2 linked regions of the Callithrix jacchus genome follow. The protein of the gene in region 2 purifies or fractionates together with the protein of the main gene of each other region. This does not show direct contact. Links are inferred from orthologs where the notes say so. Each region holds a gene or a part of one and is shown on either strand. Other genes may lie near its edges.

Region 1 (3,649 bases), on a different chromosome or scaffold from region 2:
CCAGAGCCAGGGCATGAAAGGTGTGTGACTGGCTGAGACACTCCAGCAACCCTGAAAGCCACAGTAAGCTCTTCAGCAAGGAAGGGCACACCAGAGCCAGAGGCCTGAGGGTCCCAGCACAGGTGGGAGTGGGGGCAGGGCAGGAAGTTGGGGCTTGAGTCACCGGGCACGTCAGTGCCCGCCAGGCCCAGGTTGGGCTCTCTGGCACCTTCCCTGGGTACCTCAGTGTGGGCCAGCCCAGATTTTCCAGTCCCAGGGCAGGCAGGCTGGGTGGGTGGAGCCCTCAGGTTTGGTAGAGCTTAGTTCCAGGCCAAAAGGCAGAGCAGGGCAGCCAGCACCTTGAACCAAGGTCCAGGGAGGTTTCATCCCAATCCACCCTAGGCAATGAGGAACTACCTGGTTCCACCAGGGGCCAGGCCTGAGTCTCCTGGGCTCTCCCCCAACAGCAAGGGGCCCCTCACCCACATACGCATGCACACCTACCCGGTCAGCAGCAGCCCTCGCTGCAACGGCTCCTGGGCTAGGTTCCGGCCCCCAGTGATGGGCCAGCTCTGGGAGGGGGTGGCAGAGATGTGCACACAAGGTTAGGACAAACATCTTCTCCCTCTCATCCCACGCATGGCACATTCTGACCCCCAGGCCTAGAACTGGAACACTCCCCACTCATCAAGACTCCACCCTGCAAGACTCCCCAACCCCCGAACACACCAAGGCACTGGAGACAGGCTGGGGGCTCTGCTGCTCGCCAGCGCTCACTATGCGGGCCCACAGCTTGGCGGGGACATTGGCCACATGGGCCGAGCAGGTGATAGCAGACGAATGCAGTGGGGCCAGGTATGGGGCGGGCACCGCTGGCCAGCCAGGAGTCTGCAGGTCCAACACCACCAGCTCCTCTTCCAGCAGCACAGCCAGCGCTTGGGGGTCATCAAATTCTGTGGGATGGAAGGGCCATGGGGTGAGTGCAGCCACAGGTGGCAAAGGTGCCAGGTGGGGCTGGGAAAGGGTAGGGTAGGGCAGGGCAGGGCACCCACCATCCTCAGGCCGAATACTGTGTACAGTGAAGAAGTCGATGATGCGGGAGGTGAAGTCCAGCGTCACCAATGTCTCAGCTCGAAGCACACTCACACAGTGGCGGTCACCATAGCTGGCACGGGGCATGCCACCACTGAAGATGATAAAGTGGCCCCTGTGTGTGGAGGGAGGTGTGAGAGCCATGAGCCACCTGGTTCTGGAGTACATACTGCATGTCCCAGGCAGAGCCCACCCTTCCAGCCCCCATCGAGACCCAACTCACATCGGACACCCACTCCCTTGACCTACCCAGATTCACAGTTCCGCCACAGAATCTTGTTGATGGCCTTGCAGGGAAAGGGGCCTGGGGGGTGGGACAGCATCAGACCAGACTCGCTGGTGGTTCTTAGCACTTCTGCCATTCCTCTACTGCTCTCTACCTTGCAGCTGCCTCCTGCCTCCCCGGAAAGTCGTGGGGGGTGGGGGAGAGGCACACTGCCCCCAGACCAGGCCCTCAGGGGAGTCACTCCTCAGCCAGTTTGGCTTGGCTCAGTGGTGCCTCCTCCTGTCACCACCCTCTGGCTGAAGCCTCCCCAGCACTCACCGTAAGGTGTGGTGGCCACTGTGGGCTGCAGCATTGGGGAGCTGCCGGTATCCACAGACCAGACAGCGTAGCTGCCATCGCTGTGCGAGCTGACGACAGTGCTGCTGTCACGCCCCCAGCATAGGCTCTCCAGCTGCTGTGGGCAGGTGTGGGCAAACAGGCAGGCATGAGCCATGGTGGGCGTGCACAAGGGTCCCAGGCTGAGGGGACACAGGCCTCACCCACCTACCTGATTCCCCAGGAAGACGTGGTCCGCACACTGTGAGGCCTGGTTCCAGATGACCAGCAGGCCCCGGCTGTAGCCAATGAGAATCTTCGTGGGGTGCCACAGGTGTCCCTGGAGCGACTCCACAGGGCCCAGCGCCTTTCCGCAGCGGTAGTCATCTGGCACGCTGTGAAGAAAGGTGGGTGTGAGCCAGGAGAACCTCCCGGGCATAGAGTGTGTGCTAGGAAGCCCACCAGGCCTCTTACCTGCGCAGAACCTCGCCTGGGGCGAGCGTCTGCCCCTCAAGCAGGGTCAGGGTGGTCACATCCAGGAAGAAGACACTGCTGCCCTCAGTGCCCAGGGCTGCTATGTCGCTGGCAGCCACTAGCAGGACCACTGTGACTCGAGTAAGGCTGGGTGGTACACTGCAGGTAACAAGGGGAAGGGAGTGAGGGTGGGAGCCCATCCACCTGCTGAGGTGGGGTGTGAGGGGCTGGGCCACTGCTGATAACTCATCGCTGGTTCCACAGCACACACTAGGGCCTACTTACAGAGCCACCCCAGGAAGACATGGGTCATAATCAGCCCGCTCAATTATTCATCAGGATGTCAGCAGGGAGACAGATAAAAATAGGCTCCCCAGGTCTTGCAGACTGAGCTCCCAGCTCCTCCCACCCACCAGGAGAGGACAGCAGGAACCAGGGCATTGCCCAAGCCAGGACCAGGAGCTCCTCCCTGAGCCCCACCTAGGAAACGTGCTGCCAACCCTCAGATATCTCCTCACTTCACAGGAGGGCCCCAGATACCCCCATCTGCAGAAGCTGGGAGGCACCAGGAATCCAACCCTGGGTTAGGACTCCCTTATTCCAGCTATTTCAGGCAGGGCTGGGGAGAGGGATGCCCCCTACTCTCACTCAGCTGGGGCATGCTGCCAGCACCTCACCAAACACAGCCCATGGGACCCTCCATGCCCTCAAGCCTGTCCTCTCACCTATGCAGAGAAAGGCCTGTCTCCCACCCACAACTGAGGGGCCAGGGGACTCTTGCTGTTATTTTACTGGCTTAGGCCCTGCCCCAAACCCCTAGATACCCCCATCAATGTAGTAAGTGTAGTGCCAGGCCTCAGGTCCTAGGAGTTTGGCATATAATGCATATACCTCCTGCTGTTCACAATGTTAACTACTTGCTCACCTCGACTCAACCCAAACTTCCCATTTAACCTGAAAAGTTCGCAGAGTACACCTCACTCACATCAGACACCCACTCCCTTGACCTACCCAGATTTACAGTTCCGCCACAGAATCTTGTTGACGGCCTTGCAGGGAAAGGGGCCTGGGGGGTGGGACAGCATCAGACCAGACTCGCTGTCTGCAGGGTCCAACAGCTGCAGCCTAGGACCCAGGCACGGCTCAAGGCACGGCTCCCTGAACCCAGCCCCTGCTAGCAGCTGCCCGTCCCCATGCTGCCTTTACACAGCAGGCTCTCAGAGCCTCCCTGGATCCTCCCCGCCTGGTGGTTGGCCCCAGCCAAGTTCTCCAGTACCTGGCACCATCAAAGCCGGGACGGCTGGGCAGCTGGAAGCTCAGTGCCTCTTCCAGGTGGGCACAGCCATTATGGTGGACAATCTCCCACAAATGCAGGCTGCTGTCATCAAGCAGGGTCAGGAGGCGGCCCTGGTATATGAGCAGAGATGAAAACTGGGCTGGCCTAGGGGAGTGAGTGGATATGGGGGCCACAGGGAGCTGGCCAGTGGGATGCAGAGGCTCACCTGGCCGGGCAAGAAGTGCATCTGTGTGACGGTGGCTGCATCCCGGTGTAGGCCTGTGAAT
Region 2 (3,649 bases):
TGGGTGACAGAACAAGACTTTGATGCAAAAAATAAAGTGCGAAAGTAATTACTTCATTATGCTTAAGCCCAGTGAACATAGAGAAACAGTAGATTTGTATTATGTTAGTGAAAGGTGACTCTTAAATTCCGAAGAGAGGAGCAAGATGATTATTTGTCCCTTTTCTATTTCCTCCTTTATCAAATATAACCTTTTATTAATTTCTGTAGAAATGACCACCATGGGAAGACTATCTCCTTTATCATATAAAACTTTTTAAACTACAAAGGGACAAATCATCAAATAAGTAACTAAACAATAATTGTTTAGTTATTCTGATAAGTTGAAGATTTTACTGTAAGCTTTAGTTAGTTTTTCAGGATTGATTTTGCAATTGAAGCTGTCCTTAAAAAACTAAATAATTTAGACTTTGTAAGCCAAATAGTTTTTGTTACAATTGCTGATCTCTGACCTTTTAGTGCTTTTATAGCCACAGACAAATGGGTGTGGCTGTGTTCTGATTAAAATCTTGTTTAGGCCAGCTGAAGTGGCTCACCCCTGTAATCCCAGCACTTTGAGAGGCTGTGGTGAGTGGATCATGAAATGAGGAGTTTGAGAACAGCATGGCCAATGTAGTGAAATCCCGTCTCTACTAAAGATCCGAAAAATTAGCTAGGCTTGGTGGCGGGAGCCTATAATCCCAGCTACTCGGGAGGCTGAGGCAGGAGAATTGCTTGAACCCAGGAGGCAGAGGTTTCGGTGAGCTGAGACTGCACCATTGTACTCCAGCCTGGGCGACGGGGAGACTCCATCTCAAAAAAAGAAAAAAAGAAAAATCTTATCTGTAAAAACAAGTAGCATCCCCCACCCTCACCTTTCTAGAGCAGTGCTATCCAATAGAATTTTTTCCATATTGTGATGATAGAAATGTTCAGTATCTGCAGTGTTCAGTATAATATCCACTAATCACCTGTGACTACTGCATATTTCACGTGGCTAGTGTGACTGGGGAACTATTTTAAATTTGAATTAATTTAAACATAAACTTAAGTAGCTACAGGTAGATAGTGGCTACCATATTAGCAGTACAGTACAGTTCAAGAGCATCCTTTTCCAAATTGTTCTTGGAAGTGATGAGATAATTATGAGAAGCTACATAGGATATTACCCTTCCTGCAGAATCTTGGCATTTTACTTTATTTTTAATTATTGTTTTTGGAGATATGATCTTGTCACCTGGGCTGGAGTGCAGTGGCACACTCTTGGCTTACTGCAGCCTCCACTGCCCATGCTCAAGCAATCTTCCAACCTCAGCCCCCCCCCCCGCCCCCAACTCCCAAGTAGCTGAGACCACCCCTGCTTGCCATCACGCCCAGCTAATTTTTGTATTTCTTGTAGAAATGGGGTTTTGCCGTTTTGCCCAGGCTGGTCTTGAACTCCTGAGCTCAAGTGATCCTCCTGCCTCAGCCTCCCAAAGTGCTGGGATTGCAGGTGTTAGCCACCACACTTGGTCTCATTTTATTTTATTAAAATTGCTAACAACTCCTGCTATGAAGAAACGAAAGTTTGAGACCCAAGAGAAATAAAGAATTTTAAAAGAGAAAAGAAACGTAAGTTGACTGAAATCTTTTCCCATGTACCACTACCTTTTTTTTTTTTTTTCCGAGACAGTCTCGCTCTGTCTCCCAGGCTGGAGTGGAGTAGCACGATCTCAGCTCACCACAGTCTCCACCTCCCGGGATCAAGTGATTCTCCTGCCTCAACCTACTGAGTAGCTGGGGTTATAGGCACACACCACCACGCCCGGCTAATTTTTGTATTTTTAGTGAAGACAGGGTTTTGCCATGTTGGCCAAGCTGGTCTCAAAACTCCTGACCTCAGGCGATTTGCCCACCTCCATCTCCCAAAGGGCTGGGATCACAGGTGTGAGCCACCATGCCCGGCCACCATTACCATTTTGAAGAACTGGTGTTTTGAAGAATGTAAGTACTGTTACAGAAACAGTCCCTTAATAATCAGTTATACACATCTTTCTAAGCCTTCAAATGTGCCAGTAATTGGCCATTAGAAAGTGACACAATTTTTTCACACTATGTAAAATGACAGTTTTGCTTTTTTACACCATAATCAAATATTTCAGAAGAATATGTAGAAGAGAAAAGCTATGTTGCCCTAAACATGGTATGGATACATTACATTCTGAAATAGTGGGTAGCTGAGTCCCTCAGGCAATCTGCAGTAGTAAGATGCAAGTTTCTGTTATTCAGAATAGTGCTTTTTTGTTTTGTTTTGAGACATGGTCTCACACTCACCCAGACTGTGGTACATTGGCATGTTTATAACTCACTGCAACCTCAGACTTCAGCGCTCCTCCCTCCTCAGCCTTCCGAGTAATCAGGATTACAGGTGTACACTACTATGCCCGGCTAATTTTTTTTAATTTGTAGTAGAGGCAAGGTCTCACTGTTGCCAGGCTGGTCTCAGATCCTGAGCTCAAGTGATCCTACCACCCTGACCTTGCAAAATGTGGGGATTACAGGCTTGAGCCACTGTGCTCGGCCTCAGAATGCTGCTTTGAATAAAAATTTAGATAGCGATTAAAAGAAGTTCAGAGAGTATATTTAAATAGTAAGGATATTAAAAGTACAGTATAATACTGTTACTGAAAGTTTCAATGACTTCTCTTTCCAGGAGAGGTAATTAATGAAAAAGACCGCTGTAAAAAATGTGAAGGGAAGAAGGTGATTAAAGAAGTCAAGATTCTTGAAGTCCACGTCGACAAAGGCATGAAACATGGACAGAGAATTACATTCACTGGGGAAGCAGACCAGGCCCCAGGAGTAGAACCAGGAGACATTGTTCTGTTGCTACAGGAGAAAGAACATGAGGTGATTTTACTTTTTTAAAGTTTGTTTGGTTTTATATTTTGTTTTATTCAGAAGTACTTCTTGCCTGTGAGAAATAGATTAGATCTGTTTGGAGTCCCTGGAGCAACACTGCACACTGGTGAAGTTAAGGAAGTCATGGCTGACTTCCTAAGACTGGCTTGTGTAAGAAAGACTAACAAAGCAGGCACAATTAGAAGCACTGTAGGAGTCAGTTTTAGTCCTGGTTTGGTCTTTTTTTTTTCTTTTTTCTTTTTTTTTTTTACGGAGTCTTCTTCTGTTATCCAGGCTGGAGTGCAGTGGCACGATCTCTGCTAACTGCAACCTCCGCCTCCCAGGTTCAAGCGATTCTCCTCTGGCTTGGTCATTGACTAGCACTGAAACCGTAGGTAGTCTTTCTGTCTCAATTTCTTCTTTGTTTATGAAAATAAGGGCATTGGGCATTGGACCAGATGGTCTAAGGCAGCCTGTTTTCACTGTGAAACTCTGCTGCTCTGTTGATTTGGTTTTTATTTATTGGGTAGCCAAGTGAGCTATCCTAGAAAGGGTTCTTGGGTTTTCAAAATACCATTTTTTTTTTTTTTTTTGAGACAGAGTCTTGCTCTGTCGCCAGGCGCCAGGCTGGATGGAGTACAGTGGCGCAATCTCGGCTCACTGCAATCTCTGCCTCCTGGTTTCAAACAATTCTCAGGCCTCAGCCTCCCTAGTAGCTGGGACTACAGGCGTACACCACCATGCCCAGCTAATTTTTGTATATTTTAGTAGAGACAGGGTTTCACCATGTT

Evidence for each region.
Region 1: the proteins of DNAJA2 (region 2) and LLGL1 purify together in Homo sapiens (co-immunoprecipitation; 3 studies listed by BioGRID and IntAct, with this or other methods). This does not show direct contact. The link is inferred for Callithrix jacchus from reciprocal best matches to the Homo sapiens genes DNAJA2 and LLGL1.

The regions. Positions count from the first base shown.
Region 1 is NC_133506.1:82,663,664-82,667,312, reverse strand, and holds part of LLGL1 (lethal(2) giant larvae protein homolog 1), read right to left. Parts: coding exon 3,589-3,649; intron 3,494-3,588; coding exon 3,363-3,493; intron 2,246-3,362; coding exon 2,087-2,245; intron 2,008-2,086; coding exon 1,845-2,007; intron 1,752-1,844; coding exon 1,616-1,751; intron 1,376-1,615; coding exon 1,321-1,375; intron 1,187-1,320; coding exon 1,032-1,186; intron 933-1,031; coding exon 709-932; intron 552-708; coding exon 484-551; intron 1-483. UniProt on the Homo sapiens protein: Cortical cytoskeleton protein found in a complex involved in maintaining cell polarity and epithelial integrity. Involved in the regulation of mitotic spindle orientation, proliferation, differentiation and tissue organization of neuroepithelial cells.
Region 2 is NC_133521.1:4,611,217-4,614,865, reverse strand, and holds part of DNAJA2 (dnaJ homolog subfamily A member 2), read left to right. Parts: intron 1-2,670; coding exon 2,671-2,867; intron 2,868-3,649. UniProt on the Homo sapiens protein: Co-chaperone of Hsc70. Stimulates ATP hydrolysis and the folding of unfolded proteins mediated by HSPA1A/B (in vitro).